Coturnix japonica: one gene and its partners. The protein of the gene in region 3 purifies or fractionates together with the protein of the main gene of each other region. This does not show direct contact. Links are inferred from orthologs where the notes say so. Each region holds a gene or a part of one and is shown on either strand. Other genes may lie near its edges. The genes, in order: KIAA0100, MLF2, DNAJC7, VPS13C, IFT122 and VPS13B.

What was found.
Region 1: the proteins of DNAJC7 (region 3) and KIAA0100 purify together in Homo sapiens (co-immunoprecipitation; 3 studies listed by BioGRID and IntAct, counting the BioPlex papers as one, with this or other methods). This does not show direct contact. The link is inferred for Coturnix japonica from reciprocal best matches to the Homo sapiens genes DNAJC7 and BLTP2.
Region 2: the proteins of DNAJC7 (region 3) and MLF2 purify together in Homo sapiens (affinity purification with mass spectrometry; 3 studies listed by BioGRID and IntAct, with this or other methods). This does not show direct contact. The link is inferred for Coturnix japonica from reciprocal best matches to the Homo sapiens genes DNAJC7 and MLF2.
Region 4: the proteins of DNAJC7 (region 3) and VPS13C purify together in Homo sapiens (co-immunoprecipitation; 4 studies listed by BioGRID and IntAct, counting the BioPlex papers as one, with this or other methods). This does not show direct contact. The link is inferred for Coturnix japonica from reciprocal best matches to the Homo sapiens genes DNAJC7 and VPS13C.
Region 5: the proteins of DNAJC7 (region 3) and IFT122 purify together in Homo sapiens (co-immunoprecipitation; 3 studies listed by BioGRID and IntAct, counting the BioPlex papers as one, with this or other methods). This does not show direct contact. The link is inferred for Coturnix japonica from reciprocal best matches to the Homo sapiens genes DNAJC7 and IFT122.
Region 6: the proteins of DNAJC7 (region 3) and VPS13B purify together in Homo sapiens (co-immunoprecipitation; 3 studies listed by BioGRID and IntAct, counting the BioPlex papers as one, with this or other methods). This does not show direct contact. The link is inferred for Coturnix japonica from reciprocal best matches to the Homo sapiens genes DNAJC7 and VPS13B.

Annotation. Positions count from the first base shown.
Region 1 is NC_029534.1:4,551,731-4,556,314, reverse strand, and holds the start of KIAA0100 (protein KIAA0100 homolog), read left to right. Parts: upstream 1-1,657; 5' UTR 1,658-1,747; coding exon 1,748-1,836; intron 1,837-2,585; coding exon 2,586-2,715; intron 2,716-2,959; coding exon 2,960-3,006; intron 3,007-3,214; coding exon 3,215-3,377; intron 3,378-3,454; coding exon 3,455-3,573; intron 3,574-3,671; coding exon 3,672-3,732; intron 3,733-3,949; coding exon 3,950-4,130; intron 4,131-4,261; coding exon 4,262-4,385; intron 4,386-4,584. UniProt on the Homo sapiens protein: Tube-forming lipid transport protein which binds to phosphatidylinositols and affects phosphatidylinositol-4,5-bisphosphate (PtdIns-4,5-P2) distribution.
Region 2 is NC_029516.1:69,478,443-69,483,271, forward strand, and holds the start of MLF2 (myeloid leukemia factor 2), read right to left. Parts: upstream 3,135-4,829; 5' UTR 2,980-3,134; intron 2,842-2,979; 5' UTR 2,816-2,841; coding exon 2,766-2,815; intron 1,273-2,765; coding exon 1,146-1,272; intron 1,064-1,145; coding exon 1,028-1,063; intron 104-1,027; coding exon 50-103; intron 1-49.
Region 3 is NC_029542.1:4,375,520-4,380,178, reverse strand, and holds the start of DNAJC7 (dnaJ homolog subfamily C member 7), read left to right. Parts: upstream 1-1,528; coding exon 1,529-1,581; intron 1,582-4,659. Other genes in the region: NKIRAS2 (NF-kappa-B inhibitor-interacting Ras-like protein 2), read right to left, coding at 29-268, 680-921, 1,112-1,205. UniProt on the Homo sapiens protein: Acts as a co-chaperone regulating the molecular chaperones HSP70 and HSP90 in folding of steroid receptors, such as the glucocorticoid receptor and the progesterone receptor.
Region 4 is NC_029525.1:3,603,430-3,608,266, forward strand, and holds the start of VPS13C (vacuolar protein sorting-associated protein 13C), read left to right. Parts: upstream 1-1,909; 5' UTR 1,910-1,939; coding exon 1,940-2,039; intron 2,040-2,202; exon of another isoform or gene 2,203-2,294; intron 2,295-2,718; coding exon 2,719-2,762; intron 2,763-4,788; coding exon 4,789-4,831; intron 4,832-4,837. UniProt on the Homo sapiens protein: Mediates the transfer of lipids between membranes at organelle contact sites. Necessary for proper mitochondrial function and maintenance of mitochondrial transmembrane potential.
Region 5 is NC_029527.1:16,827,423-16,831,537, forward strand, and holds part of IFT122 (intraflagellar transport protein 122 homolog), read left to right. Parts: intron 1-859; coding exon 860-1,000; intron 1,001-1,978; coding exon 1,979-2,076; intron 2,077-2,970; coding exon 2,971-3,071; intron 3,072-4,115. UniProt on the Homo sapiens protein: As a component of the IFT complex A (IFT-A), a complex required for retrograde ciliary transport and entry into cilia of G protein-coupled receptors (GPCRs), it is required in ciliogenesis and ciliary protein trafficking.
Region 6 is NC_029517.1:116,154,105-116,158,219, forward strand, and holds part of VPS13B (vacuolar protein sorting-associated protein 13B), read left to right. Parts: intron 1-265; coding exon 266-529; intron 530-683; coding exon 684-767; intron 768-925; coding exon 926-1,101; intron 1,102-1,618; coding exon 1,619-1,789; intron 1,790-3,202; coding exon 3,203-3,404; intron 3,405-4,115. UniProt on the Homo sapiens protein: Mediates the transfer of lipids between membranes at organelle contact sites. Binds phosphatidylinositol 3-phosphate. Functions as a tethering factor in the slow endocytic recycling pathway, to assist traffic between early and recycling endosomes.

The DNA of each region.
Region 1 (4,584 bases), on a different chromosome or scaffold from region 3:
ACCCTTCTTGGACCTACAAGGTTCTCCCAGGCCCAAACAACTCCCTGTCAGCCCCACCTCATCCTCTAGCCCGTTTCTCCCAGTCCTCATTCCCATCCTGCCCCATCTTGGCCCCTAGGGTCGACCACATACTCTGCCTCCCCCATGTCATATCATCCCCCACACAAGGTCAGCATCCTCTGGAAGCCCTGTAGCACCTTTGGGTGCTCTGCATTAATGAGGTTACTGAGGAATCAGCACTCAAAACTTGCAGCCTGTAAATCTGAGCCCATAGAACTGTCCCTTCTCTGTCCCTCTGCTCATACAAAGACCCAAGCCCTAAAACTGAGCTTTTTTTTTCCCCTCCAGGAGGTGAGCGCCTTTGGAGAGAATGGTGAAGGTGACTACCTGGATGACTGGACAGTGCTGTGCAGTGGGACATACTGGGCACGGGACAGCGAGGTGCGCTTCCAACACGCCTCCACCGACGTCTTCCTCTCGGTGACAGGAGAGCAGTACGGGCGGCCTATCAATGGGCAAAGGGAGGTGCACGGCATGGCCACCTCCAGCCAGAATAACTACTGGAAGGTGATGGAAGGAATCTTCATGCAGCCCGGAGAGGTCTTCAAAGCGGAGCAGCACCACGTTGAGTTGTGACAGATGGACTGATGCGTTCGGGGCTGCTCAGTGTGGGGATGGCCCCCGTCTACACGCGGTTGTGATGTGCACTGGGAAATGGAGCCCAACATCCTGAATTCAACACAAAGCTGGTCCTGGTGTGCTGAATTTGACATGACATAGAACTTAGTGTTTGGGGTCTAAGGCAAAGCAGATCTCAACATCCCAAATCCAACACAAAGCTGATCCCAACATCCCACATCCAACATGAAGCTGATCCCAACATCCCACATCCAACACAAATATGATCCCAACATCTCACATCCAACATAAAGCTGATCCCAACATCCCAAATCCAACATAAAGCTGATCCCAGAATTTTAATTCCAACACCAAAGCTGATTCCAATGTCCTAAATTTGACACTAAACAGATTTCACCCTCCCAGATCCAGCACAAGGTCAACCCCAAAGCCTAGTTCAGACTAGAAGCAGAGTTCAGTGCCACAAATCCAACAGGAGTCAGATCACAGAGCCTCAGATCCAAGCACCCCAAATGCAACTCAAAGCAGATCCCAGCATCCTAAATCCAACACAAAGCAGATCCCAGCATCCCAAATCCAATTCAAAGGAGATCCCAGCATCCTAAATGCAATGCAAAGGAGATCCCAGCATCCCAAATCCAATGCAAAGGAGATCCCAGCATCCCAAATCCAATGCAAAGCAGTTCCCAGCATCCCAAATCACATCCCAAAGTCCCATTTGGACCCAGATCCCAGAACCCCAAATAAATCACATCCCAAAGATCAGCCTGGACACACAGCAGCTCCCTGCTCCCCAGAGCGGCACCCACACTCTCCATCTATAACCTACATTTATTTATTATTCATCTCCATCTCCCCTGGGCCGGATGGGGGGGGTCTCCTCGTGTATCCGATCCCCCTCCCCTCTATACGGGTTATGGATACGGGTTAGGGCTGCTCGTTCCCATTACCCCGCAGAGCGGTGCAGTTCCACCCCGAGCCTTTAGGGGGCGCTATCGCCATAACTCCGTGTTGATCCCGCCCCTCCGCTTCCAACCGTCACTCCAGGCCCGGCAGGCGGCTCTGCCCCCGCTGAGCGGACGGCGGCGGCCGGGCCCTGGGGGCCGCCATGCTGCTGCCTCCGGGTCTGCCCCTACCGCTGCCCGCCGTTCTGCTCGGCCTCGGGCTCGTCTTGCTGCTCGCCGGGCTGTTGGCGCGGTCAGGGCCTGGGGGCGGGCCGCTGGGACCGGGGGAGGGGCGAGGAAGGAGGTGGTGGGAGTGTGGGGGGGCGAGTGTGAGGAGGGGTTGGGGGGCGTAAAGATGGGGGGGTAGTAGGCCTGGGTGGTGTAGGGTGTAGAGTGGGGTGTAAGTGGCAGTGAGGGGGTGTAGAGGGGATATAGGTGCGGGTATGTTGCATGGAGTGCTCTGTATAGGGTGTGGGTGGGGATGAATGTGGGGTGGCAGGGGTGTATGGGGGCCCATAGGGGTCTCTGAAGGCCCACAGAGCTGGCTGGGGTAGTGTCAGGCTGAAGGAGATTGCAGGGAGTTGGGGTGGGGGCTGTCAGGGCTTATAGGGATCAAGGGATCTTGCAAAGATGCGTGTGGGGTGATGGGGAAGTCAAAATGGAGCTTTGAGGCTATGGGGGGTGTTAGGGCTTTGGGCTGCTCCCATAGTTCAGGGATACTGTGGAGCTTGGAGGGAAATATCAAAGGTGGAAGGTGTTGTGTGAGGGGGATACAGCCAGATATGGGGGTTTTGTGGTTTTGCGGTGATCCCATCCAGGTCTGGGGGGATCTTATGGGGCTGGATGTGGAGAGAAAGGTGGGGTTGGAGCACAGGGCTTGGTGTGGAGGCTGAGGGACCCACAGATGTGAGAGTCTCTAGGGCAGTGCAGGTGGTTGGAAGGGAGAAGGTGTGTGGCTCAGGACAGCAGAGGATGACCCTGTCCCTTTGCATGTGCCCACAGGTGGCTGGCGTGTCACCTGGCCATCACCTGGTGCCGGCAGAAGCTGCAGGCGGAGCTGAAGATCGGCTCCTTTGGCTTCTTCTGGGCACAGAACATCAGCCTCAAGTTCCAGCAGGAGCAGCAGACAGTGGTGGGTACCTGTGGAGGAGTCACAACTGGGTGAGGGTGGGATGGACGCCGTCCTTTTCAGGCTGGCAGCGAGTCTCTGCAGCCAAGCTGCTGTCACACAGCCCCAGGGCTGCAGCCCTTTCTCCCTTGGCCAAATACAGGGGTTTTTGAGTGCTCCCCACATGACGCAGGGCAACAGGAGTGGAATGAAAGCATCGGGGAGAGCACTGTTATTTTTTCACTCACCAGCTTTTATGTTCTTGCAGGAAATTGACAACATCTGGATCTCCAGTAAACTGAGCCGGGAGCTCCCGTATGTATCCACGTCCCAACTGCTTCTCTGCTTTCCTGGGGGGTCTGGCTCGCCCCTGGTCCTGCCGACTGCCTCTGCACCTTTCTATGGTGCTCATTTCCCATGCTCTGCGGGAGTGAATCATTCCCCTTTTGGTGTCTCATGGAGGCACCCCTGGGGCTGGATGTGTGGGCTCTTGTAAAGGTTGCGTGTGCTTGTTCTCCTGCAGACGCTACTTTGAGCTGTGTTTTGGTGAGGTCCGAGTCCGCACAGATCTGCAGAAGAGCCATGGGCTCCAGCCATCCTTCCCTGAGGCTCCCAAAGAAGCTGATGATGGCAAGAACAGAGCAGACATGGCCCTTAAACCATCCCTGCTGCGGCTTCTTAGCCAGGTGAGCTCTGGCTCCATGAGAGGGTGTTGCAGGCTGTGCTGCTCTTGCGTAGCCCTCACCATACCACCTTCCACCAGCTCTTTTCCATCCACATGGACTCCATCAACATCATGGTTCTACATGTGGCCACCTCAGAGTCTCTCTGGCACGTTCAAGCCAGCAAGACCCGTCTTCTCTTCAATGGTGATGGGAAGAGGTAATGCTGTATTCATGCCCTGTATCCCACCAAAAAGGGGGGGAAGGGGCTTGGTTTTGCAGGGCCTGCAGCTTCAGTCTGCTCTCTGCTCTCCCCAGCCTGAACTGTGAGGTGAACCTGACAAAGGTCAACAGCAAAGTGCTCCGGAGCAGCCAGCTGGTGAGTACTGGGGAAGGGAGAAATTCAGTGCGCTGGGGCTGGGCAGCAGCTCTCTGGGACACCCCAGGACCTGTTCCAGTGTTTTGTTGAGGCTGGGTGATGCTGAATGCCCTGCAAGGCTCTCAGCTGCATGCTCTGCCCAGTGCATTACCTGCAGCCTCCGTCAGCAGGGAACTGGGTGATTCCTGGTGTGCTCCTTGCCCATATCCCTATATAGGATGACACGTGTCTGGCAGAGCTGGCCCTGGCACTCTGCATCTCACTGGAGATCAGCAGCAAGCGGCGGCTGGTGGGCGTCAAGCTGAGTGTCCGGACCCTGCAGGCAGAGCTGCACGAGGGGCTTTTCTGCAGCCCGTTGTTGCACCGTGTGACAGCCAGAGCCTCTCAGCCCAGCCCAGGTCAGGGATGTGAACAAGGCTGGCAGTTCCACTGCAGCCAGAGGGATTTGGTTTTGCTATCATTGCTGCCAAATGCAAGGAGTGGGAGTCTGGGCAAGAGCCTTCCTGTGACTCTGTGTTTCCTGCTCTAGATTCAGGAGAGTCCCTGAAATCCCCATCCCTGCTGAGCAGGGACACACTGCAGCTCATCCCCAGGAGGGTAGAGGTGAAGCTGGAGAGCACCAGCGTGGTGCTGTCTATGAACAGCCAGAAGAGGTAAGGAGGCCAGATGGAAGAGGTGGTTGTACTAGCCATAGTCACTGCAGGGGACATGGTCCTGGGAATAGCTGTGCCACTTCCTGCTTGTCCCTTGCTCTGCCTGACTGCAGAGAGAAAATCCCAGGGGGAAGAATGTGAGTAGCCTGGGGCTGTGGGCTCTTGGGGAAGAAGTTAGGCAGGGAATCTGGTTCTCTGG
Region 2 (4,829 bases), on a different chromosome or scaffold from region 3:
CATCAGTACTTCCCTCCTTAACACAGATTAATTTATTGAAGGTTCTTACCATGTTCCCAATCATGTCGTTCATCATGCCAAACATGTCTATAAAGCCACCTGCCTAAGAGAAAAGAGCACAGGAAGAGTCAATTTGGATGGATATGGGAGAAAAGAATTACAACAGCCTGTCTGCAAACTTTTCTTACTCTCCCTATAGGGAAAGCAGACGTTAAAAACGTGACTGTTTTTAATCTGGCAGAGCTAAAGGCTGCAGTTAGTGTACTCAGCCAGCAGGTCTGACAGATTAATTGTGCAATATGTAAACAAAATTACTGTGTCAGTTTAAAGGCACTGATTCCTTTTTCCCTTCTTCAAGTGGCTTCTTGTTCTCGTTTAGAGCAGACCAGAACTCACACGCAATGTTATTACCCTTTGAAGTCCAACTGTTTGTATTATTAATCCTTTTCTGAACTAGAATGATTCCAGGATGCTTCATTGAGTCAATCCCGCAGAGCAAGGCACCTAAAGCTGCTGGATCTGGAATAACTTATTTCCCCTGTATTACTACAATAGATAACTGAGATCAACAAGCTCCAGGAACAACATTTTCCCACACATCCAGCAATTCTCACTCCAATTCTGTTCTCTTGAATTACTCTTTTAGCTTTTCATTCTGCAACCATTTTCAAAGGAAGTTCAATTACCGCCTCTGCCTAATGACGGCCGAGTCTTTTCCATGTGTCATCACAGTTTCACAACAATCTCCAAACAGATCCACAGCTTCTTCTTAGACACATGAGGTTAAGAGACCCTCCGTTCTTCCTAGATATCACCTATCTCAATTCCTATGAAATACCATGCTGTAACAGCTTTATGGATCTCCTCTGTTCAAGGTGCCCGTATAAATGGACTCCTCTAAAACAGCTCCACAGACTACACTGAAGTATGAGGAGAAGTGGAAGGTCTAAAACCATACAACTCAGGAATAGCAGTGCAGGAGGAACCAGTTATCTTCAAACTTGACACTGAAAAACAGAGGACTTACCATGCCCAGCATCCCAAAGGGTGAAACAGCTCCCGCCTGTTGAGACAACAGAAAAACAGAATAAACGATGATCTTGCAACAGCCAAACACCAGATACTCCTCAGAGCCCCTCTCTTACCTGCATCCTACGGCCAGCCTGGCGAGCCCCAGGCGTGGTCCCATCAGTGATACCAAGCAACGGGCCAAAGCCAAAGCTTCCAGAAAGCATGCGGTTCATGTGCTGCCGGTGGATAGCAAAAGGGTCCCTTTGGGAAAGATTGAGAGAACAGTGGTGAGAAAAGGATGACAGAACACTGAGTCCTGTATAATACACACATTCTGACTCGGAGTTTCTCTTATGCAACTGTGACTGTATTTTCTAAGCTGAAAATCCAGAAGCTCAAGAACACACACAGTGTTGCGTATGCTAATCCTTAGGGCTGGATCCCATTTCTTCTCTTGTGACTGAAAGTATTATGCCACAGAACCTCTCTTACACACTAACTAATGTCTATTCAGCACCAGCTCCATGCTCTGTTCCCACTAATACTTTTGAGCCAAGCTCCAAAACCTCACTGCTCTACAAGGTAAAAGATCTGCAGTCCAAGCGCTACCATCATCTCATACTCATTTCCTCTTGAGCCATCAAAACTCTTTGCATTAGCAGCCTCTGCTTTAAGGACATACTTGTACACGCTGGAGAAGCAAGGAGGGAAAAAGTAGAACAGGGACAGTCCCAAATAACAGCAGCCACGCTAAAGAGCCTGAGAAGCATCACAGCATTTCTCTGCACATCTGGTAGTTCTGCATTCATCCCTCCAGAGCACAAACAACCTGAGCAGCACGTAATTTCCTGAGATCACAAAAGCACCGAGCACAACCCAATACTTTCCTGTTTCTGCTGGGAATACTTTGCATAATAAAAGCGAGACTCATAGCTGCCACATCAGTGAGAACTGTACACTCACTCTGTGACTGAGACTTCCAGGTCTCCTCTCCTACTCATTGGTTTATGGTTGATAACATTCTTATAATCAACTTTATAAGCAAGAGCAGGGCTTTGTTTTCCTACATATATTAATTGTAACTAATGTATAGCAGTGCCACACTTCATACAAACTCCTACCATATAACACTCTTGTCCTTAACTGCTTTGGCAACAACCGCCACCTCTCATCAGTTGCAACCCATTTCTGAGCAGGGGATAGAAATAAAAGCAACCAGTAAGAGGAACCCCAAAGCAAAGCATCATTGGGACCCACATCAGGTTTTCAGGCTTGTGTTTTAAAACGCCTAGAATTCTCCTCATTTAGTCCCTCACAACGTGACAGCTCCCTCAGCAGCCTCCTCCAGCTCCACTAATGAATTCTTCGGCGGGGTAGAAACGAACAGGCACAGATGATGTTATCAAACCTTACTCGTTATACGCAGCAATCCTTAAGCACAGCTAAAGGTCACAGAATCACACAGAATCACAGAATGACCCAGGTTGGAAGGGACCTCAAGGATCATGTAGTTCCAACCCCCCTGCCTGGCAGGGCCACCAAACATACACAGGGCCACCAAACATACAAAAGGTCGGGCGCTCCAGCGCTGCTTTCCTCACACACTCACAGTGTATTTGGCCTACTTTATTCAATGTGTCCTCAAAGCCACAGTGGTTCGGCTGGCACGAAACAGGCCGCTCCCATCCCCCCATGACCCCCCTCCCCTCCGTGCAGGCCGTGCCGCAGCGCCCCGGCCCCTCGAGCCGACTCACATAGCGAACATGGGATCCTCGGGCTCGCCGTCCCTCATCAACCGGAACATGCTGCTGCCCTGGCCGGGGGCGGGCTCTAAGGAGGGAGGGATGGAGGGATGGAGGTTGAAGCGCTGAGCAGGCCGCACGTCGCAAAGGCGGCCGCCCCCAGACCCGCACCTCACCTCCCCACCACCACCACTACCACCCCCCCCGGCCCCAGGCTCGCCCCCACCTTGTGCCCCTTCTCCGTGCGGTGCCGAGGGGCAGACGGCAGGAAGAAGACGAAGAGCAGAAGGATGCACACACGGGCCGCTCACTCCCGTGCTCCCATGGCGGCTCGCAGCCCGCTCACCCCTTCCGCTCCAGCCGGCTCGCCCCGCGCATGCGCGCACAGCGCCGTGTGTCGGTGCGCTCTCGCCGGGCAGGAAGCGGCGCTCGGGCCCGTGTCGGGGCACAGCGCCCCCTGGCGGTCAGTGCGGCCCGAGCGCCGCTATGCTGCTCTATGGCAGCGGGCCGCCAGCTCACAGCGCACCCGTGGGCACCGACACTCACCCGGAGCCGCTGCCAACACCACCAAGGCATCACTGCCCCCCTCCGTGAGCCTCAGTCACACGTCTGACTGTTCCAGCATGGAAAAGCGTTTCCTGCTCGGCGTGTTCAACCCTGGGCGGGCACGTGGTGCATTGGGTGTGTGCAGACGGGCAGGGAGAGAGCAAGAATGGAAGCGTTATTTATGGGACTGGGAGCAAGGCTGCGATAAAATGACCTGCTTTCCACGGATCCCAGCAGCCATCCCACCCCCAGACATGGCAGGGCTCCTAAAGCTGCTTCCATACACAGCATCAGGCATTACTGCCTCCCCAACACAGAGCAGGAGTGCACACTGTAACCTATATGTAACCTATGTAACCTATGTAACCTATGTTACCAGCAATGTTACCAGTTAAGCAAATCTGGCTCACTGGTGGCTGAAGCCCCAGCAACACAGACAAGCTCCCCCTTGTTAGAAACGCAGAATCTGTCATAAATCAAAGCCATTACCCACACTGCCTCCCTTCCTTTTTTAAAGCAGTCCAGGCAGAGGAGAATGGGGGAAGAGGAGAGGCTGAGCCAAGGGCAAAATGGAAGCGAGGAGTGATGCCACTGCCCTGAGCTCCACCTTCTGCTGCTGACTCGCTGCCATTCAGCATCCCTCCCCCTAACGTCCCCAGCGCTGTTAGCTGCGCACTCAGCCAAAGGGGCAACCACAGCGTTTTCAAAGCAAACTGAATATCACGTGGCGTGGGTAAATAAACGCTATGTTTAAAACAGAAGGATACAGGTATGCGGCCAAAGTTCACAATCTACTGATCGGAGTAGAAGCTGCAACGAGGATACAGTGTGAATAGGAAGAAGCAAGACTGAGCCCTGGAACAGGCTGCCCAGGGAGGTTGTGGATGCCCCGTCCTTGGAGGTGTTCAAGACCAGGTTGGACGGGGCCCTGGGCAGCCTGATCTAGTAAAGGTGTATGTTTGGTGGCCCTGCCAGGCAGGGGGGTTGGAACTACATGATCCTTGAAGTCCCTTCCAACCCGGGTCATTCTGTGATACTGTGAGCCCTGAGAACTGGAGCACCCACAGGGGGAAGGAAGAGGTCACAGACCGAACCCAATGGCCCCTTTCACAGGTGGTTGGAAACATACTTTCCTCTCATAAACAGCCGCTTGTGTATTTGCATCTGAGGGCGTTGCCTGTGTCAACACGACTCTTTGGGCAACAGTATCATCACCAAATATAGTCTTTGCTTTTTCTCCTCAAGGACCTCGCGTTGAGGCCTGCTGGTGTATTAGCACGGATAGGTCTATGGTACAGCATGTGATGGAGCAGCTTTGCGTGCGCAGCAGTTGAGGAAAGATAAAGCCAGAAATGCTGGATTGGTGCACAGCACAGCACAGCAGTGAGTCACACATCTCTACCAAGGAGCAGCACACCATGACAACATCCACCAACTTCTTTTTTCCTCCTGTTTTTGAGCTCAGCTCCAGAAATTCCCTCTCTCTGCTCTCAGCACAGCGTTACCCACACTGCCCGGCAGGTGGCGCTG
Region 3 (4,659 bases):
AGGTGGCACTGGAAGAGCACAATGAGGCTCAGCCATCCACAGACCCGCTGCCCTTGTTCTTGCGGCTCAGGGGAAAAGCAGACTTGCTTTGTGGCTGCGTCATCTTACTGGCCAGGTAGATGAAGGGCTCGATCAAGGTACGGCGGTCAGCAACAGACACCTCCCACAGCTTCACCTTCTCGCCCTTGGCCCAGTGCTGGGCTGCGTCGTGGTCCACCCGGCGCTGCTCCTGCAGGTCACATTTATTGCCCAACACCACAATAGTGACCTGTTAAAATACAGGGGAGAAGAAACCCCTGTTGGTTCAGCGCCAGGTCCTGCCCCACACAGAATCCCCCCTTTCCTTTCCTAGTGCATCCTTTGGGCAGTTTCACCCTCCTGTTTGGGTTTGATTCAAACCAGCCCCAAAACAGAAGGGCCCATTGAGCAGCTGCACGTGTAGCACTGCAGGACCCTGCAGGAAAAGCCCCACTGTGCAACTGAGCTCTCAGTTAATGCCAATAAGACCAACAGCCCCCGAGGAGCAGCCAAAGGAGCCACGGAATCACAGGGCAAACAGCCGCCCACAGCAGCAGCCCATTACAGCTCAGAGCCCCTCGGAGCAGCACCCCATGTCTGTAGGGAGGCTCCGCGGGTGGGTCCCAAGGCCCAGCAGCTCCCCCCGCCCCGCAGCGCTCACCTCCTTCTTGTCTTTGCACTTGTCGATCTCCTTCTTGAGGAGCTCCACCCGCTTGAAGGACTCCTTGCTGTCGGTGCTGTACACCAGCACGTAGCCGTCGGTGCAGGAGAAGCAATGCTTGGGCAGCTCCAGGCCGTCCCGCAGCCCACGCGTGTCGTAGAAACGCACCTGCTCGCGAACGCCGCGATCGGTCTCGATGGAGCCCACGTAAATGTCCTCCTGGGTCTCGATCATCTCGGAGCCTGCGGGGCGGGCGGGGGGGTCACGGGGGGACATGGGGGTCACGGGGGGATATGGGGGTCCTGGGGGGGATATGGGGGTCTATGGGGGGATATGGGGGTATGGGGGGATATGGGGGTCGTGGGGGGGATATAAGGGTCTATGGGGGGATATGGGGGTCCCGGGGGGCTGTGGGGTCCCCCCGGCACGCACCGACCACGTGGTTGCCGTAGAGCAGCTGCTCCAGGATGGCGGTTTTGCCCACGGCGGCCTGTCCGCACACCACCACTTTGCAGCTCTTCCCCATCGCCGCTCCGGGACCGAACCGCGGGATCCGCGCAGGGAACGGCACCGGGGCGGCACCGCGTGGGGATCCGTCACGGGACGGGGACGGTCGGGGGGATCGGGGGGAGATCGGGGATCACGGATCGGGGATCACGGATCGTGGATCACGGACCGGCTCCGCCCGGTATCGCCGTGTCCCGCAGCGCCCCCCAGCGGCCGCACGCGGTATCGCAGCTCCCCGCGGTCCCGCCCCGCTCCCGGCAGCCGGGCTCCCCGGAACCGCCCTTCCGGCGCCCCGCCCCCCGCCCGGCGTAATATGCTCGGCGCAGCGGAGTGCGATGTGACATGGCGGCGCCCGACGCGAACACACGGCGAGACGCAAAGGACGAGGACCGGAGGTAACGGGGGGGGCGGGGCTGGGCTCGTGGGGCCTCACCGGGCCGCGCCGTCTGCCTGCTCTGCCCTGCTGCTTTGCTTTGCCCTGCTCTGCTCTCGGGGCGGGCTCGGGGTCACGGCACGGATCGAGCTCCGGGGTCGCTCCGTTGGACGAGAAGCTCCGGGTCCGGGTCGCTCCGTGTTTCCTCCCCGCCCGGCGCCGCGTTACCTGCAGCGCTGACACGAGGCGGCCCGTAACGCGGCGCTGTGCTGGGAGCGGGGCTGGATGGGGGAGAAGCCGGTGTGAGGCTGTAACTGTGCGTGAGGAGCCCCCGGTAACTCACGGCTCCTGGTAACAGCGCTATTGCTGAGCTCGGCTTCACCCCGCGCAGGGCAGCACCCCGCAGTGTGCGCTTCCCTATGGGCCGGGTGCTGTCAGCACAGGGGATGCGATGGGGAAGGGCCGACACCCGGACGGCGGTGTGAGCAGCACCGGGTTTGTTACCCCCGAGGAGCTGCGAGCACAGAGCTGGGGCTGGAGGATTTGAGGCTGCTCCCGCAGCTCGTTGGTTGGTGGAATCAGCAGCAGAAACGAAACTAGAAGCGTCCTGTGAGCAGTGCGATGTTCAGAGCAAAGCCGTGGCCTGGGGAGCTGCAATGGACCGACAGCAATGGATGGATGGCTCCGGGACCCAGAGCTTCCTGGTGATGTCATGAGGAGCAGGAGGAAATGCAGGAGGCATCGTGTGTGCTGTGTGTGTGCTGTGTGTGCTGTGTGTGTGTGTGGAGCTGGGGAATCCTGCTGCTGTGATTCATCCCCTCGGGCTGGTTAAAGATGACGACGGAAATGTTAAAAATACCCGAATGGAAGAGCTGTGCCGGAGGCGCATCGTCCCGTGGTGTCCTCTGACATTGGTTCCCCTTCCTTCCTCCTCCTGGGTCCTGCTGGGTGCAGGGAGCTGCCCTGTGCTGGGGGTTGGCTCCCCGTCCTGCTCTGAGGGGCAGAGCCTGCCTGGGTCACCACGTGCTGGCACTGCAGCCTGTGGGCATTGCCGTGTAGCCCTGTGGTTTTATGGGTGATTTCACACTGTTCTGTTGCTGGGATTCAAAGTGTGTGAGCTGGATGTGATGCTCTGTGTGCACCGGAGGAACAAGGCAGGGTCCTGGGGACGGCAGCTCTGCGTCCTCAGGGCTTACGTTGGTTGCTCAAGTTCTATCTGTCAACTGAGCTGATGTAAATGAGGCTGATAGTCACCAAACGAGGGAGGATGGCTGGAGGCTTAATTAGGTGCTTAATGTTTGTAAAACATCACCAACCACGCAGGGGCTCTGCAGGCACTCAGCATTAATTGCACGGGCGTTCTCTGGAATCTGATTGAACGCAGCCGGGCCAGATTCTGTTAGAAAGCAGCAAAAATGAATGAAAAAGCTTCACTGAAGCGCTGTAAGTCAGCCCCGAGCTCCCTGTGCTCTGTGCCTCTCTTCAGGAATTGCAGCATGACGAGGCACAGGTGGGTGAGGGTTAGTCCTGGAGCAAAGGGACTAAATGTGCAGTTCTGTTCTATGTGGCTTAATAAAAATACAAGTGGTAACGGTGGGGCTGAGGATTCCTGAACAGCTGTAAACATGCCGAGCTGCTCACTCACCGGCGGCTGCAGGGACAGGAATAAAGTGCGGTCATAGGATAATTATGGGCTGTGGCAGCTTAAATTGTGAGGGTCCTGACGGAGGAGGGTTGATGTAAGTGCATTAATTTTATCTGCTGGGTGATGGAGCTGCAGCTCCTGCTGGGTGGGGGCTGCACTGCAGGCAGAGAGAGGTTCATCCCCAAAAGTTGCTTCCTTTTCTTCCCCCCCACAAATGGTGAAGGTTTCTGACCCCTGGGGTCCATCCCTTGGCCCAGCTGACCCAGGAGCGTGGTGCTGCTGGGTCCATTCCTTTGCTGTTTGGGTTCTGTCGCTGTGCTCTGCTCAGGGCCGGATCCTTCTCCCCTTCCTTCAATTGCTGGAGGATGCAGCAGCTTCATCTGGGAGGTATCTCAAATCACGTGGAAAATATTGTGAACTGATCTGGACAGAGCGTTGTTTTCATGGTGCTTTTGCTGCAGAATTCAGGTGTGTTGGTGCCTCTGCAGGAAATGGTCGTTAACTTCAATAAAACGATGAGTGTGAAATTTGCCACACAAAGTAAATTGTGCAGAAATCAAAGAGGAGGTTCCAGCCCTGGCCTTAATTCGGGTCACAATGAGTCCGACAGATGTTGCCCGCAGGCTGTCAGCTGTGGGTCATCAGGAAGGCTCCTTCTGCTGCTGCTGTACATGAAATCAGCTGCACCTCAATCAGGCTGCTCCAATGATGATAAATGTCCTGGGCTGCCCCTGCAGGTTGTGCTGCCAGGCCCTGCCCTCGGTTGGCTGGGGGGGCTTTGCTGGTGGGTACGGGCTGATCCAGGATTCTTGCTCTGCTTCTCGCTGGGCGCTGGAGTTTCCCAGGCTGTGGATCCAGCCTGTTTTGTGAACGTGTAATTATCAGCTTAGGGTAATATGAGGAATGGCAGGAGCTCCTCACGTTGATGTTTAATCTCCCATACATTTGTGGAGCATTTGAATGCTCTGAATGAGATAATTTCTGTATACAGCATGAAAAAGACGATTGGAACTTGGTGTTGAAGCCTGCCTTGAACTCCAGACCATCTTTTTTAGGGTGAATCACGTGAGTGTCGTTGTCTTACCATGCAGCTGGGCTGTTTCCTGCATCCAGGCCTCCATGGCAGCCAGTGCTCCGGGTGGTCCTGGGCCTTCTGTGGGCTCTCACACGCACTGAGGCTCAGCCCTGCCATCAGCAGTGCTGCTGTTGGTATGAAGTGGGTTGACAGTGAGCTCTGCTAGCAAGGTGCATTACATAACCGTCTAATTAACGTTCAGGGCTCATCTGGCTGTTTACACTGAGTGCTGCGGGGGGCATTGGCTCCTTTCTGTGCTCCTGCTCTGCTGTGGCTTTTGGCCTTCCATGGCTGAGTTTGTCCTCAGGTATTGGGAGTGTTCTAAATGTCTGTGGATTTGCTTTTGATCACTCCCCCAAAAGACTCGGGGTCCCAAAGCA
Region 4 (4,837 bases), on a different chromosome or scaffold from region 3:
CACATAAAAGCTGTTTTTACTTGTTATCCAACAATTTATAATTGTGATAAACTGATCTCTGCAGAATTCTCTGTGCAGAAATCAATACAGCCGTTACGAGAAGCAAAGAAAATGGATTTATCATCCTGCAAATATTACATAATTGTTATAGAGAACATTCAGTGCCCCCGATTTGCACAACTGCTCTTAAATTTATATACACTAAGAGATCGAGCTCTCACTGATTGGCTTTTGCTCAGAGCTTATTCAGCCACAGCTTGTAGATACAAAGCACAATAAGCAAAAGCCCTTTAAAATTTTATTGTAGTAATCACAAATGAAAGTTTGTTACCAATCAAAATGGCAGCAGAATCTCAGCACACAATTTCCTGCCTTGTTTTCTTGCACTGATGTTTCCCAAGGATACAAATACCTTTGAGCAGACAGCGCTGCATGGAAGGAGTAAAGAAATAAATCATTGGCACCTTCTGCAGTTTCTAGAAGTTATATAATTAGAAATTTTTCTTCCTGTCTGAAGCAAAACAGAGCTTAAAAGAAGAATGTGGTACTTGAATGCCATCCTCTAATGAAAAATCTCATCTGTTATAGTAATCATGTCACACATCATGCGTTTAGTTTGAAGGTCCTTGGAATCACCTCTGGGTTAACATGGGGGGAATTCTTTGAAAGAACAAAAATGGCACTAATGACTCAACATAAAACCAACTTAACCACATACAGGCATAAACCAGCCTTGCAAAAGGCCCAGAATGCAGCATGCACAGATGATTTTGATCAATACAATGACTATTAATTAAGCATCTGACAGTTCTCGTCCAAGAACTGCCACAGTACGTGCAAGGGAAAAAGCATCCAATGTGCTCTTGGTGCTCACCAGTAGGTGCCTACAGAAAGGTACACAAGGGTGACACTTCCCACTGATGAACCTTTCCACAATTTCCATGAATCCTCAGCATTGTGCCGTACAACTTCCCCCACCCAATCACATGGATCATTGTGTTTAACAACCACCGCAGATCCGAACTTTGCTCTTAGTGATGTAATGTTCTGCCTCACGCTTTAAACATCGAAAAATGCTTGTGTTAAAGTGAGGCACACATATTCCTAGCAACGTACAGACGTGGCACGCACCAAATAAGGAATCTTCTTGTCTTGTCGCCTGCTCTGGGCTGGCTGTGTGCGTTATTGAACAGGTTGATTTAACAGATCTATACATACAGGGGTGACCTCATGTTCGTGCCTCCCGCACAAGGGAGATAACCGCACACAGCCCTTCCCATTCAGCTCCGCTACAGCAGAGGGAGCCTGCAGGCCTCGGACGCGGCTCTATCAGCACCGAGGGGTAACAGCTGCTAATAGACCTTTATCGGCTCACAAAAATTCGCTCCTTCAGCGGTGTTCTCTTAACACACCCTCGCACTCGGCTCCACAATGTTTTTTATCCGCATTTTGAAGCGTTTGCCTGCCTCCCTCACCGACCGTCCCCGTTGTTGTCTTATTTTCATGCATTTTTCAGGCCTGAGTATTGCCAGTACTCATTTCCCCTCTCTCGTTCTCCTTTTCTGCCAGTTTTCACGTCACTTGGGCGGCCGGATGAACACCAATGTTTTTCTGTGCATCATAAGAACTCTCAGCAGGCACCCTCGCCCTTCAGAGCGCTGCTTCCCCGCCTCGGGGCCGCGGCTCGGGGCTGCTCCTCTCCCCACCCGCAGCCCCCCAACACCTGCTCCGCAGCCATGCCGACACCCACCCCGTCCCCTCAGCTCCGTGTGGCGCTGAGCTGCTCCGCCCCGTCACCTGACCGCGGGAACGCTCCAGCCGCTGCCTCGCGCCGCTCCCGGCCCCCCCTCCCTTGTTCCCTCCCCTCCGCGCTGCTCCCGGTGCGCCGCGGGCGGAGTACGGTGGGCCGCGGGAGGCGTGAGGTGGGCCCGCCTCCGCCATGGTGCTCGAGTCGCTGGTGGCGGACGTCCTGAACCGCTTCCTCGGCGACTACGTGGAGAACCTGAACAAATCCCAGCTCAAGCTGGGTATATGGGGGGGTAAGGAGCCCGTTCCGCCCCGGCTCTGTGGCGCAGCGGGGCCGCCGCCGCCACCGGGGGAGGGCGCTTCCTCGCGGGGAGCGGGTCTGGCTGGCCCCGTATTAGCCGAGCTGCCGGCGGCCCCTTGAGGAGCGGGCGGGCGGCCTGTAGCCGCGGAGCGTACCTCCGCCTCACTGCCCCGCGAAGGGCGGTCGCTGTGAGGGCCGCGTTGCTCCCGGAGGGGCGGTCGGTCGCCTTGAGACCGCGGACCACCCCCCGGGGGCGGTCGGTCGGAGCGGGGCCGCGTTCTCCCCCGTGAGGGGCGGCGGTGGGCGATGGGGCCGCGGCTTCCCGCGCTGGTGGCGCCTCCCGGCGGCGGGCGGTGTCCATGAGGGGGCTGGGGCGGCTGCGCTGCTCGTGTGGGGGCTGTCAGTGCCACAGGGGATGAAGCTTTTCTCCTTAGTTTGATCGCGCTGCTGCCACGCGGTGAATGATTCATACCTATGTTACAAACAACATAGCCCGAGGAGCTCTGCTATTGAAGCACTCGGGTGGTACATGTGCAGTTTTCCTCATGTATGACTCGGTGTGCCTGTGCTCCCCAGTGTTATACCTTATATTTGCAAAGCTGTGGTTGTTTTCCTTGTTCCAGCGTGTTTTGCATAGGTGTGACATCAATGAACTTTTTTCTTCCACATAGGTAATGTCGCGCTTGACAACTTAAAAATAAAGGAGAATGCACTAGTAAGTATTCCACTAATGCTCAAGCTGTATCAGTGGGTCTGAGGGCAAAGCCCTGGGCTGCTTACTGTATGTAGTCTCACTTCACAGTGTGTGCCTTCTTTGCTTGTTACTGAAAGTCGTACTTCGTTAATGGCTTCTAACATTGCTAATAATATAATACATAATAATAAAAATTGGAACAAAGGGGAAAAAAAAGTCCACAGGTTAGATCATAAATATGTGCGCAAGAAAAGTACATCTGAGAAATTACCACTAGTGTTTTCAAATATGTTTCTGATGTTTTCTGCGTATCAGTCTGCCTGAGGGTTGGAAGGCCCTACAGAGGGATCTGGACAGGCTGGATTGATGGGTTAAAGCCAATGGGATGAAGTTCAACAAGACCAAATGCAGGGTCCTATGTTTCAGTTACACCAATGCCATGTGTGGCTGCAGGCTCAGGGTGGAGTGACTGGAAAGCTGTGTGGGGGAAAAGGATTTGGGGGTACTGGTTGACAGCTGAACATGAGCCAGTGATGTGCCCAGGTGGACAAGGCCAATGGCATTCTGGCTTGTATCAGAAATAATGCAGCCAGCAGGACTGGGAGGTAATTGTCCCTCTGTACTTGGCAGTGGTGAGGTTGTGTCTCAAGCATTGTGTTCAGTTTTTGGGTCCATCACTACAAGAAAGACATGGAGGTCCTGGAGTGTGTCCGGAGAAGGGCAACAAAGCTGTGAAGGCTCTGGAGCACAGGCCTTACCACCTGTCCTAATGATTTGAAGCTCGAAATAGTAAATGTTTGTACATTTCTCTTACTGCTTTAGTCTTCCAGTACAAGCTAAATAACTGAATTTCTTCTTCTGCTGCATAATCATACTTCCATAAGGTCATAGTTTAGTCTTCCATAGGGCTTATCACTTGTATGTCCAAGCAATAGATGGTTGTATGTTTCAGAACAGCTTACTAGAAACAACTGGTATGCACAGGTCTGTGTATTTTTTTACTGCATGTGTTGAATGAATGGATTTTCAAAGCCCGAATCTTGCAGATTGTTATAGCTGAAGTCCTGTGAGAGACTGTGATGCTGTGTTTTGATGTGGGTAAGAAGGGAGAAAAAGTTCCATCTGTTGATGAAGTAAAGGCTTATGTTTATGGCTATGTAAATTGATTTTCAGTTAAAACTGTGGAGGGTGACATGTTTGAGATGTATGCAGTCTGAATGTAGCTTGTACATTCTGATTAACCATGTAATATGGTTATTTAAATGTTCCTGTTAATGTAGGAGTAACAGTGAGTGAAAAAACAAGAAAGAGTTTCCAATAAGTAACCAGATTCTTGTCTGAAAAGTTCTTAGTTGGTTATTGTGTCCTGAGCTAAGGAATAGGAATTAGGAATACAACAAACTTCAGTGTGCTTCACATTGCACTCAGGAAGATGATGGAAAACGTGCTAAATTTTTGCTTGACATCACCATTTTTTCTTTGTTGCTCTGAAATTTCATGTCTTACCTGCTTCTTTTGCCCATCGTTGATAACTCTAAGGTGGTACCAACTAGAAATTGGAATTTTACTGTAAGAATAGATAAATTATTACATCTTAATTTTTACTTTTATTTTTTCCTTCTTGCTTTTATTCTTCTTCCTGTTTATCTCGTCTCTCTTTTAACCAGTGGTTAAATTCCTTTTTTTTTGCAATACGCTGTGTAGATGAGATCCTTCATGAGGTTTTAATTTATATTCTTGTATGTGGATGAAACCTTAGTTCTTGGGTAACTTTTGTTGCAAAGCATTATCATAGGTGTATTAAAGAGCTGCTAGAAATGTGTAACTCCTTTTGGCTTCCTGGAAGCCTGACTGTATTTATGGATTCCCACATTCACATGAGCGTTGCTGATTATTTACACTTATGTCATACAGAGAACTGCATCTGTTCTGGAACTTCAATTTTGTGTTTACAGTTTTAAGAGAAGTCAGGATAATAATTCTGCTGTCCGAACCAAGTTACCTCCACAATACACGAATCTGTTTAATATTTATTTTTCTTTTACAGAGTGAACTGGAAGTTCCTTTCAGAGTCAAAGTTGGCCATATAGGTAAGG
Region 5 (4,115 bases), on a different chromosome or scaffold from region 3:
AGCCAGCTGGGATCTAAAAGTGTAACCGCATTTGCTTACAAGGCCAAGCTAGCGCTATGCCAGCCGTGAGCTGTCTCTATGCAGCACTAGGCTGCACATCTTGGCACTAAACCTTTGAGCAGCTGAGTGGTTTGCACATACAGATCTGTGAATATATGTGTGTTGTTCCTAGCTTATTCCTCAAAGCTCCGTGCTGTTCTGTCTTGGCTAATACAAATTCCACAAAACTGGGTGAGCAGGAGATCTCTGTGTGGGTCTGGGAGAATGTGGTTTTAATGGAGTTGATTTAAATCAGGAGGCAATTGTTATCTTTATTGCACTTTATTTCATTCCTTTATTGTGTTTATGCCAAGTGAGAAGTCAGAATCTAACTTTACACTGGCTTCTGAAGTTCACTGAAAGAGAAGCTGTTAATGAGTGCTACAAGGATATAATAAATAATATAATCTTCTAAAACATTCAACATTACTGACTAGAACTAATTTGAACTTACTGTAGTTTTAAATGCAGGTGCAATCTGCAGTGTTTAGAGATTGCAATTGCTTGAAAACAGATCTAATGATTGTTGTGCTTTTGCTCTTTCCTATATTAAAGAACAACAAAAACACCGGAGGTGTACAAGACATAGCAGCTCAAGAGCCCCCAAGACAGTGCAAAAGCCACAAAACACCTACAGCTGCATCTCATGTTCCATTAGTGTTGCTGCTTTCAAGTAGAAAATACCAGTGTATAATCCCTTCATACTGCCCTGGATAGATGATTTGATATTGTCTGAATAGACTGCTCTTAATTTAAAAACATTAATTTCAGCTAATTGATATAATTGCCCTGTAAAATCCTCTTTGTTTTGTCTTTGTAGCATTCCACAAGGCTGGCAGGCAGAGAGAAGCTGTGAGAGTGCTGGAGCAGCTAACACACAATGCTGTGGTTGAAAGCCGATTTAACGACGCAGCCTATTATTATTGGATGCTTTCCATGCAGTGTTTAGATATAGCCCAAGGTAAGTAACTGAAAGGCTTATATTTTTACCTTCTTGTGCATGTAGGCAGACAATTGCTAAACTGTGATAGCATTGCTGCAGCTCCTTCACTATTTTTTTTCTTTTATACTGTGCATAGTTTTGGCATACGCTATTTTTGTCTACTGGTTTTCCCATGCTCTTATGTAAAACAGATGAGCAAAACAACAACAGCAGTGTGCGTAGGCCTTGTTTTGAAATCTGGCTGGAATCAAAATAGTGCATCCTTGGGAGCCTGTGTCCTTGTGTAGCTTCCCTCAACACGCTGCAGGTAGAGCAGTGACTGAGGGGTCCACGTACTGGTATCTGCAAGGTGGTTCTGGAGCATAAGATCTGCTTAGTACTTGAATGTAGGTAGGGGAGGTACTTTACAAATTGTTTCTGCCAACAAATACAAAACTGTGAGCTATCATCTTGTCTTCTGAGTGTATTTCTCTGGAAGAGAGGTAGAGCTAGTGCTTAGGAGAACTAATTTGCCAATGAATACCAGGGTTGATAGTACTGTGTTTTGCTCAGTGCTTTAAGTGCCTTTTTATTAGTTCACCTGAGAGTGCTGATATGTTGCCTCTGAGGTATTGTGTGGAGATGCAAACTGTTCCAGTTTTTTTAGTAGTGTGTTTAATATCCATGAAATGTTTCAAAACTCATTTTATTTGTAAATTCTGAAGGTATGAATGAGCTTTACAGAGATGCACAGCTGCTCTTTTCTCCCTTTACCTAACCTGTAGCCTCTAGCTATATTAAAGCCATTACCACTCATATTTGAGCATGCTTTTTTTTGAAGTAGAAACTTGCTCCCAGAAGTAGCAAGACTGTATAACCTGTGTTTTGCACAGGTAGATGGGGGACACTTGGGCTGGTGTGTACTTCATTTGGGAGTATCACTGTATGTTGTTTTCTTCACACTGAGTCTCAAAGGTTTACCTGGGGGGGCTTACACTAATGCCTTTCTCTCCGCAGAGAATGAAGAACAGCAGACTGAAATGTTGCAGAAGTTTCATCACTTCCAGCAATTGGCAGAAATCTACCATGTCTATCACTATATTCAAAGATACACTGTAAGATATTTACTTTAGAAGTTGTGTGTGTATTCCTGAATGTTTTTCTTTCAGAAGTCCAGAGATAAAGAAACATTTAATGACTTCACACAATTAAATAGAGTGTAGATTAGTGATACTGTATAGCAACATTTCTCTGCTTTCTGTTGTACTGCAGAAGAACTTCTCTTGTCGTAGTTCTTAAAAAGTGCCGTGCCATTTTAGCAGATGTGTGTTTGTCTCACTGTGTACATAGAGAATATGAGCATGGCTGACTCTCCACCCCCAGTACTTTCTTTGCTGGCTGTGTTGATTGGTTCCAGCACCCCGGATCTCAGGTCCTTTACAGGTTGCAGTGGGTTCTTCCTTTAATTGGGGAAAGCAGGTTTATACAGAAGACACCCTCATTCAGAGATTCCCACAGCATGTTACCTCTTATCAGTGGTGATATATGTAAACTTCTCCAAAAGATGTGCAGTCTTGAGAGGAGAGCTCCTGCTGCTCCCAGCAATTATAGTAATGTTCCTACAACTGTTGGTGAAAATATCTTCTGTGGAACATATGAGAAGCCTCTAATCTATGCCCTTGCCCAAAAGACGACTCTGTGCAACCAAGGTCTCTGCTAGTCAGGCTATGTCAGACCTTTCAGTGGTGGAGGCTGCCCACTGTTCATGCCTTGCTTTTATATAGCCTGGTAAGGATTCTATTTTAGCTGTGTGGATCCCTTTCTGTCTTTTTCTGTGTGTAACAGGCATGAACTTTGGTGTTTAACATGTGAAATCCGCTTGGTGTGTTCTGTCAGCATCTGCTCTTTTAGCAACTGCATGAACTGCATGACAATACTTGGGATGCCTGGTATTGTGATGTGTAGTGATGTGAATTGTCTTAGAAATGTCTCTATTTTTAATTCCACAGGAGGAACCTTTCAGTTTCCACTTGCCTGAAACACTCTTCAATATTTCCAGGTTTCTGCTTCACAGCTTAACAAAGGAGACTCCCTTGGGGATCTCAAAAGTGTATCCTTCCAACACTGCACAGAATCTAGAGGCTGAGGTACACTAAAAGAGTAATTGATGTTGAGCCACAGTGCAGAGATCTACTTTGGGTTATGTTCAGTTTCAGCTGTGGGTTGTAGCTAATTGAATTCGATTTATGCCCCTAGGGAAATAATCAGCACCTTCAAACCATTGTTTTTAACTGCACTGTCTTCTTTTTTTTTTTCCTTATCGTCTTGGAGAGCTGAACAAATCAACATGTAATTCTCAGCCACCCACCCAGCATGATGTGTGACTTTGTCAAGGAGTATTAGTCATCCCAACAGGATGCTGGATCTGAATCTTGACAACCTTGAGCTCAGATGGGAGCAGGGGGAAAAAACAGCCACTTTTGCTCCATCTGAGGCTGTTATAGCTGTGCAGTGTCTCTCAACCTACCATTTGCACAACTTTGTGAGTGCATGTTGCATCTTTTGGAAGTAGAATCATAGAATCCTTAGAGTTGGAAAGGATTTCTGAAGGCCATCTAGTTCAACCCCCCCTGCAGTGAATGAGGAAATCCACAGCTAGATCAGGTTACCTCATACAAGGCCTGTGCGAACGCTGCAGAAATGCATCTGTCCATAAAAGACAACAGAAAGGGTCACTGACTGACAAAGGGAAGGCAGTTTTTCTTCCGTTACGGCTCTGGATGGGATGTTTGCTTTCCTATTAGTAACTTCCTCACTTACATATACTTCCAAAATGTCTTTCCTAACGTGTGTTGTTAGGGTTGTGATTGGTAGCGTTCAGAACAGCAGTTACTGTTACATGCTAATGAAAGAGACAGCCCTTGGTCACTGACATGGAGCTGGTGCTGCATTCTTCTTACTAGGCAGTGTGTGCTTAACGGGTGTCAGTGCACTGATGGTGTTCCAGTAACGTTTTTGGTTTTGTTGCTGTTATTTTTTTTTGGTCTGGGTAAAATCCATTCAACCTAAACAAACTTCAGCGTGGAGGTCAGATTATTTAACCAGGTAGTATTAATGCAGGGTCAGTTCCGTACTTCAGTTATAATCACCCCCA
Region 6 (4,115 bases), on a different chromosome or scaffold from region 3:
AATCAAAGCCAGAATTATGTCAGCCATGGTCAATACTGCTGATTTGAGATTCTTCGTGTCTGATTTTTATGAAATTGCACATACATTTGGCCAATAAAAACAATATTTACCATTTACTACCTTCAGTAGTGCTCAGGAAAATGTAACAGAATGAAAATGCTAAAATAGAGATTGTTTCTGTACACGTTTTCTATCTGTAATTCAATCCTGACCTTTCTTAATTTCAATTGTTTATACACGGGCTGAATATTTTTGTGTGTTTTAGATCCTAATCTGTGGAAGACAGACAGTCTGTAGTTACCTTTCGGAAAGTATCGAACTGAAGGTGGTTCAGCATTACATTAGTCAGGATGGACAGGCAGTGGTTAAAGAGCACATCAACTGCCTCGCAGCCAAGCAAAAGCTGCCTTCATTTGTCCTAGAAGACAACGAGCTCACCGAACTGAGTGTGAAGGCCGTGGGAGATGAAGACTGGTCCCAAGATGTATGTCTGAGTTCTAACCATACAGAACACAGCACTGTCATTCAGGTAAGTCTGGAATTAAATGCTTGAGATATAAGTTTGAAAATGTCTGTGAGAACTGAGAACTTTAAATGTAAAGTTCTGTTTGATATGATGAAATGTTCATTATCATCAGCTTAGAATAATTTTAATAGAATGTTGTCGATCTATCTGCATACAGGTGCCATCCTCAAAGAGTTTGATTACATACGTGTGGTGCACCATTCTGACCTTAGAGCCCAGCTCTCATGTGCAGCAGCGAATAGTAAGTAATGCTTCTATAGCCTAAGTGTTGACAATTTATCTGTCATTAATTAAGGGCAGAATGACCCACTGAAAAGACTTATTAATAGCTTGTTTCAACAGATGTCATTCTGAAATAAAATGAGAATAAAAGTGTTGTGGTTTTTTTTTCATTTGTAGATTGTTTTCAGCCCTCTTTTCATTGTAAGGAGCCATCTTCCAGACCCAATTATCATACATTTAGAGAAAAGGAGTCTAGGATTGAATGAAACACAAGTGGTTCCAGGGAAAGGACAGGAGAAAGCACTGCAAAATATAGAACCTGATCTTATACATCACCTGACATTTCAAGCCAGGTAAAATATTCACTTTCCTTGAAAATGATTCATTTGTATTGAAAAGAAGAAATGATTTACACTTTAACTTCTAGTGCAGTGTTTCAAAGAGTACAGAGTATGCGAAGGAGATACAAGAGAACAAGTGTGTGTTACCTGGAGTGATAGGATAGGAAATAATACATTTAGTATCACTGAACTGAATGTGATGTCATTTGTTTGCTTAAACTGTCCACATTTTTGTGTATTAGTAAACAAAAGAAAACAAAAACCATCTTGAATTCTCTTGGACTATTGATTGAGAATACTCTTCAGTTCCTGGGGTCTCAGACACAAATGTTATTAAAGTGTCGTAACAAATTCATGCATATCTGTATATGCTCGGTAACTTGGTGGACATCATTGTTTAATTCATCCACAATTACTTTGAGAGTGTTTCTCTTGCAGAACCCACTTGTTAAGATTCATTATAGAAAATGTTAGTGCTATTAATACTTGAGCTTGTTCCGTGAATGACCAGATCTGTATTCAATGACAGGGAGGAAGATGATCCGTCAGAGTGCGCAGTCCCTATCTCAACTACGCTTATTAAACATATAGCAACTAAATCCCACCCAGGTGGCAACGTCAACCAGATCCTGTCCGAGTTTTATGGCACTGCTAATCCTCGTCAGCCTGCATGGCCATATAACAAGAAGGATTCAGACAGGTAGTTTTTTGCTAAATGTACTTCGTGGTCATTACGTTGACTTTTCATATAGAGGTCTTTTACAAGATAAAATTGTTAATTGGAATAAAGCATCTAGGAAGCTAACTAAAATTTTTACATCCATATCATTAAATACAAAGGTATCGCTTACTACTAAATAACTACCTAATTCACAGGTTGTTGGAGGCCAGGAAAATGTACTGGCAGTACATTGGTATCTGCCAGATGTCTTTTCAGGGTTTTGTAGACGTCTGTTACTAACCAGTATAAGAGTCAGAATACTAGCCTGGGGATCTTTGATCTTATCTAAGTAGGCTATTATCTTCATCTCTTTTTACTATATAACTTTGTTAATGATATTTAAATCAATTGACCTAACAGTGGAACTCAGTAAGTGTTTTGAGTCTTGACCAAGAATAGACTCCATAGAGCTCAACTACTTAATCAAAATAAGGATCACCAAGACCCTCAGTGAACTTTGTACGCACATTAATAGATCGAGCTGTGTCCTGTCAAAGTTAAGTCAGCTGTGAAAATATCATAGCTTGTCCTGGATTCCTCGTTAATTTAAAATAATCTCAGTGATCTAAAATGTGATGTGTATGATCTGGTCTAGCCATGTATTGCACAGTTAGTGAAAGCTTGTACATTTTGCTTTTTACTCTCTAGTGTAAGTTTCTTAAAAGTTCAAGCTTACTGTATCTTATCCTTCATTAGATTATTCTGAATGCATTTTTAGGCAACAGAATTTTCTGAACTAGCTATAGAATGTATCAGTTTTGAAAAGTTATTATTGTGCTTCCAGCACCCCATCCAAAAGATGCCCCCTGAAATGCTATTTAAATGTAACATTTTCTTTGTTATCAAGAGCTTTGCATGGTGCTTGTTTGCTTAGTCAGCCCTATGAAATCAACTTTAAGAGTCTGTTTTCAGTAATTACAGAATTCCTATTTGTAAGCTGCAGAAGTGGTTGCAGGCAGGAAAAACTTTCAGTAAGCACAGGGGCTGCCCTTGATTACATTGAAAAGCTGTAGAGGTTATTTATTTGGCATCTGTGTTTCAGCTCAGAAATGGCAGAAAAAGAGTTGAGGGGAAAATAAATAAAGATTTTGATTTTATGTCTGCAGAAGTCACAGGTTTAGCCTTAGAGAATAGCAGTAATTCTGTTTCTAGGGCATTCAATTAATTGACAAAACTTAAGTTGAGGTTATGCCGCTACAAATATGTCTTTATCGCCTGCAAGAGGCTCACTCTAGCAGCATAACAGTATGTTCCAGAATGATTAGGTAAGAGGAGACTCTTCCTCTATTTCAAAAAGGTAAGGTTTTGAAAATGAAATGAAAATAAGCACATATCTTAAAGTCATTCTTTGTTCCTTTGGCTTCATTGTTTTGTTTGTTTGTTTCCAAACAGCAGTGAACAGCTCTCCCAATGGGACAGCCCAATGCGGGTAAAGCTGTCAGTGTGGAAACCATGTGTTAAAACTCTGCTGATAGAACTCCTGCCATGGGCCTTGCTTATCAATCAGTCCAAGTGGGACCTCTGGCTGTTTGAAGGAGAGAAGATAGTGCTTCAGGTGCCTACCGGGAAAGTAATGATTCCCCCCAACTTCGAGGTAACTGCCATTTGAGTCAGGAGACATAGTTCTCCATGTACCAGCCTAAGTAAATTACTCCAAAGCAAAAGTAAAGACTTTGGGCACTGCTCTGCAGGCCTAACTGCATCCTGTATTATTAGCTCGGGGGGGATGTTGACCATGGTAGCACAGCTGGCAGCCTTTAGGGAACATTTCATCAATGGGTGGTGTTTCATAGCTCATGTAGTACCAAGAGAGGTTTGATAACAAGGCAGAGTGAATGACAAATGAGAACAATTATTCAGAACATCTTCCTTCCTGAATATAGGGCTTTATGTAGTGGATCTTCTCACATCTTAGCTCTGTCATTCAAGTGTTTTGGTTTTTTTTACTACAGTCCTAATATTGTTTATTTTTGAAAGAATTAAGATAATTCGACAGACCAATTTGTCAGTTCCAGAAGGACAATTTGATACTTCCTGCATATTTTGCCATCCTTCTTTCCCCATAAATGTCTGTTCAGAAACAAAAGGCCTGGTGATTAACACATCTCAGTGTAGCCTAGAGTCTTGATTTCACTGGGTGGGTCAGTCTCATATCCGCCATGTGGTTTCATCTATCCTTGTGCCACTTAGAGAGAATTGGAAAAAGGCAGGGAATGACACTGGCTGCATACTGGAAACAATGTTTAAGTGTAAAAGAAATGCATGGAATTATCAACAAGTGATAGCTGGTCTTTTTTCACCTACA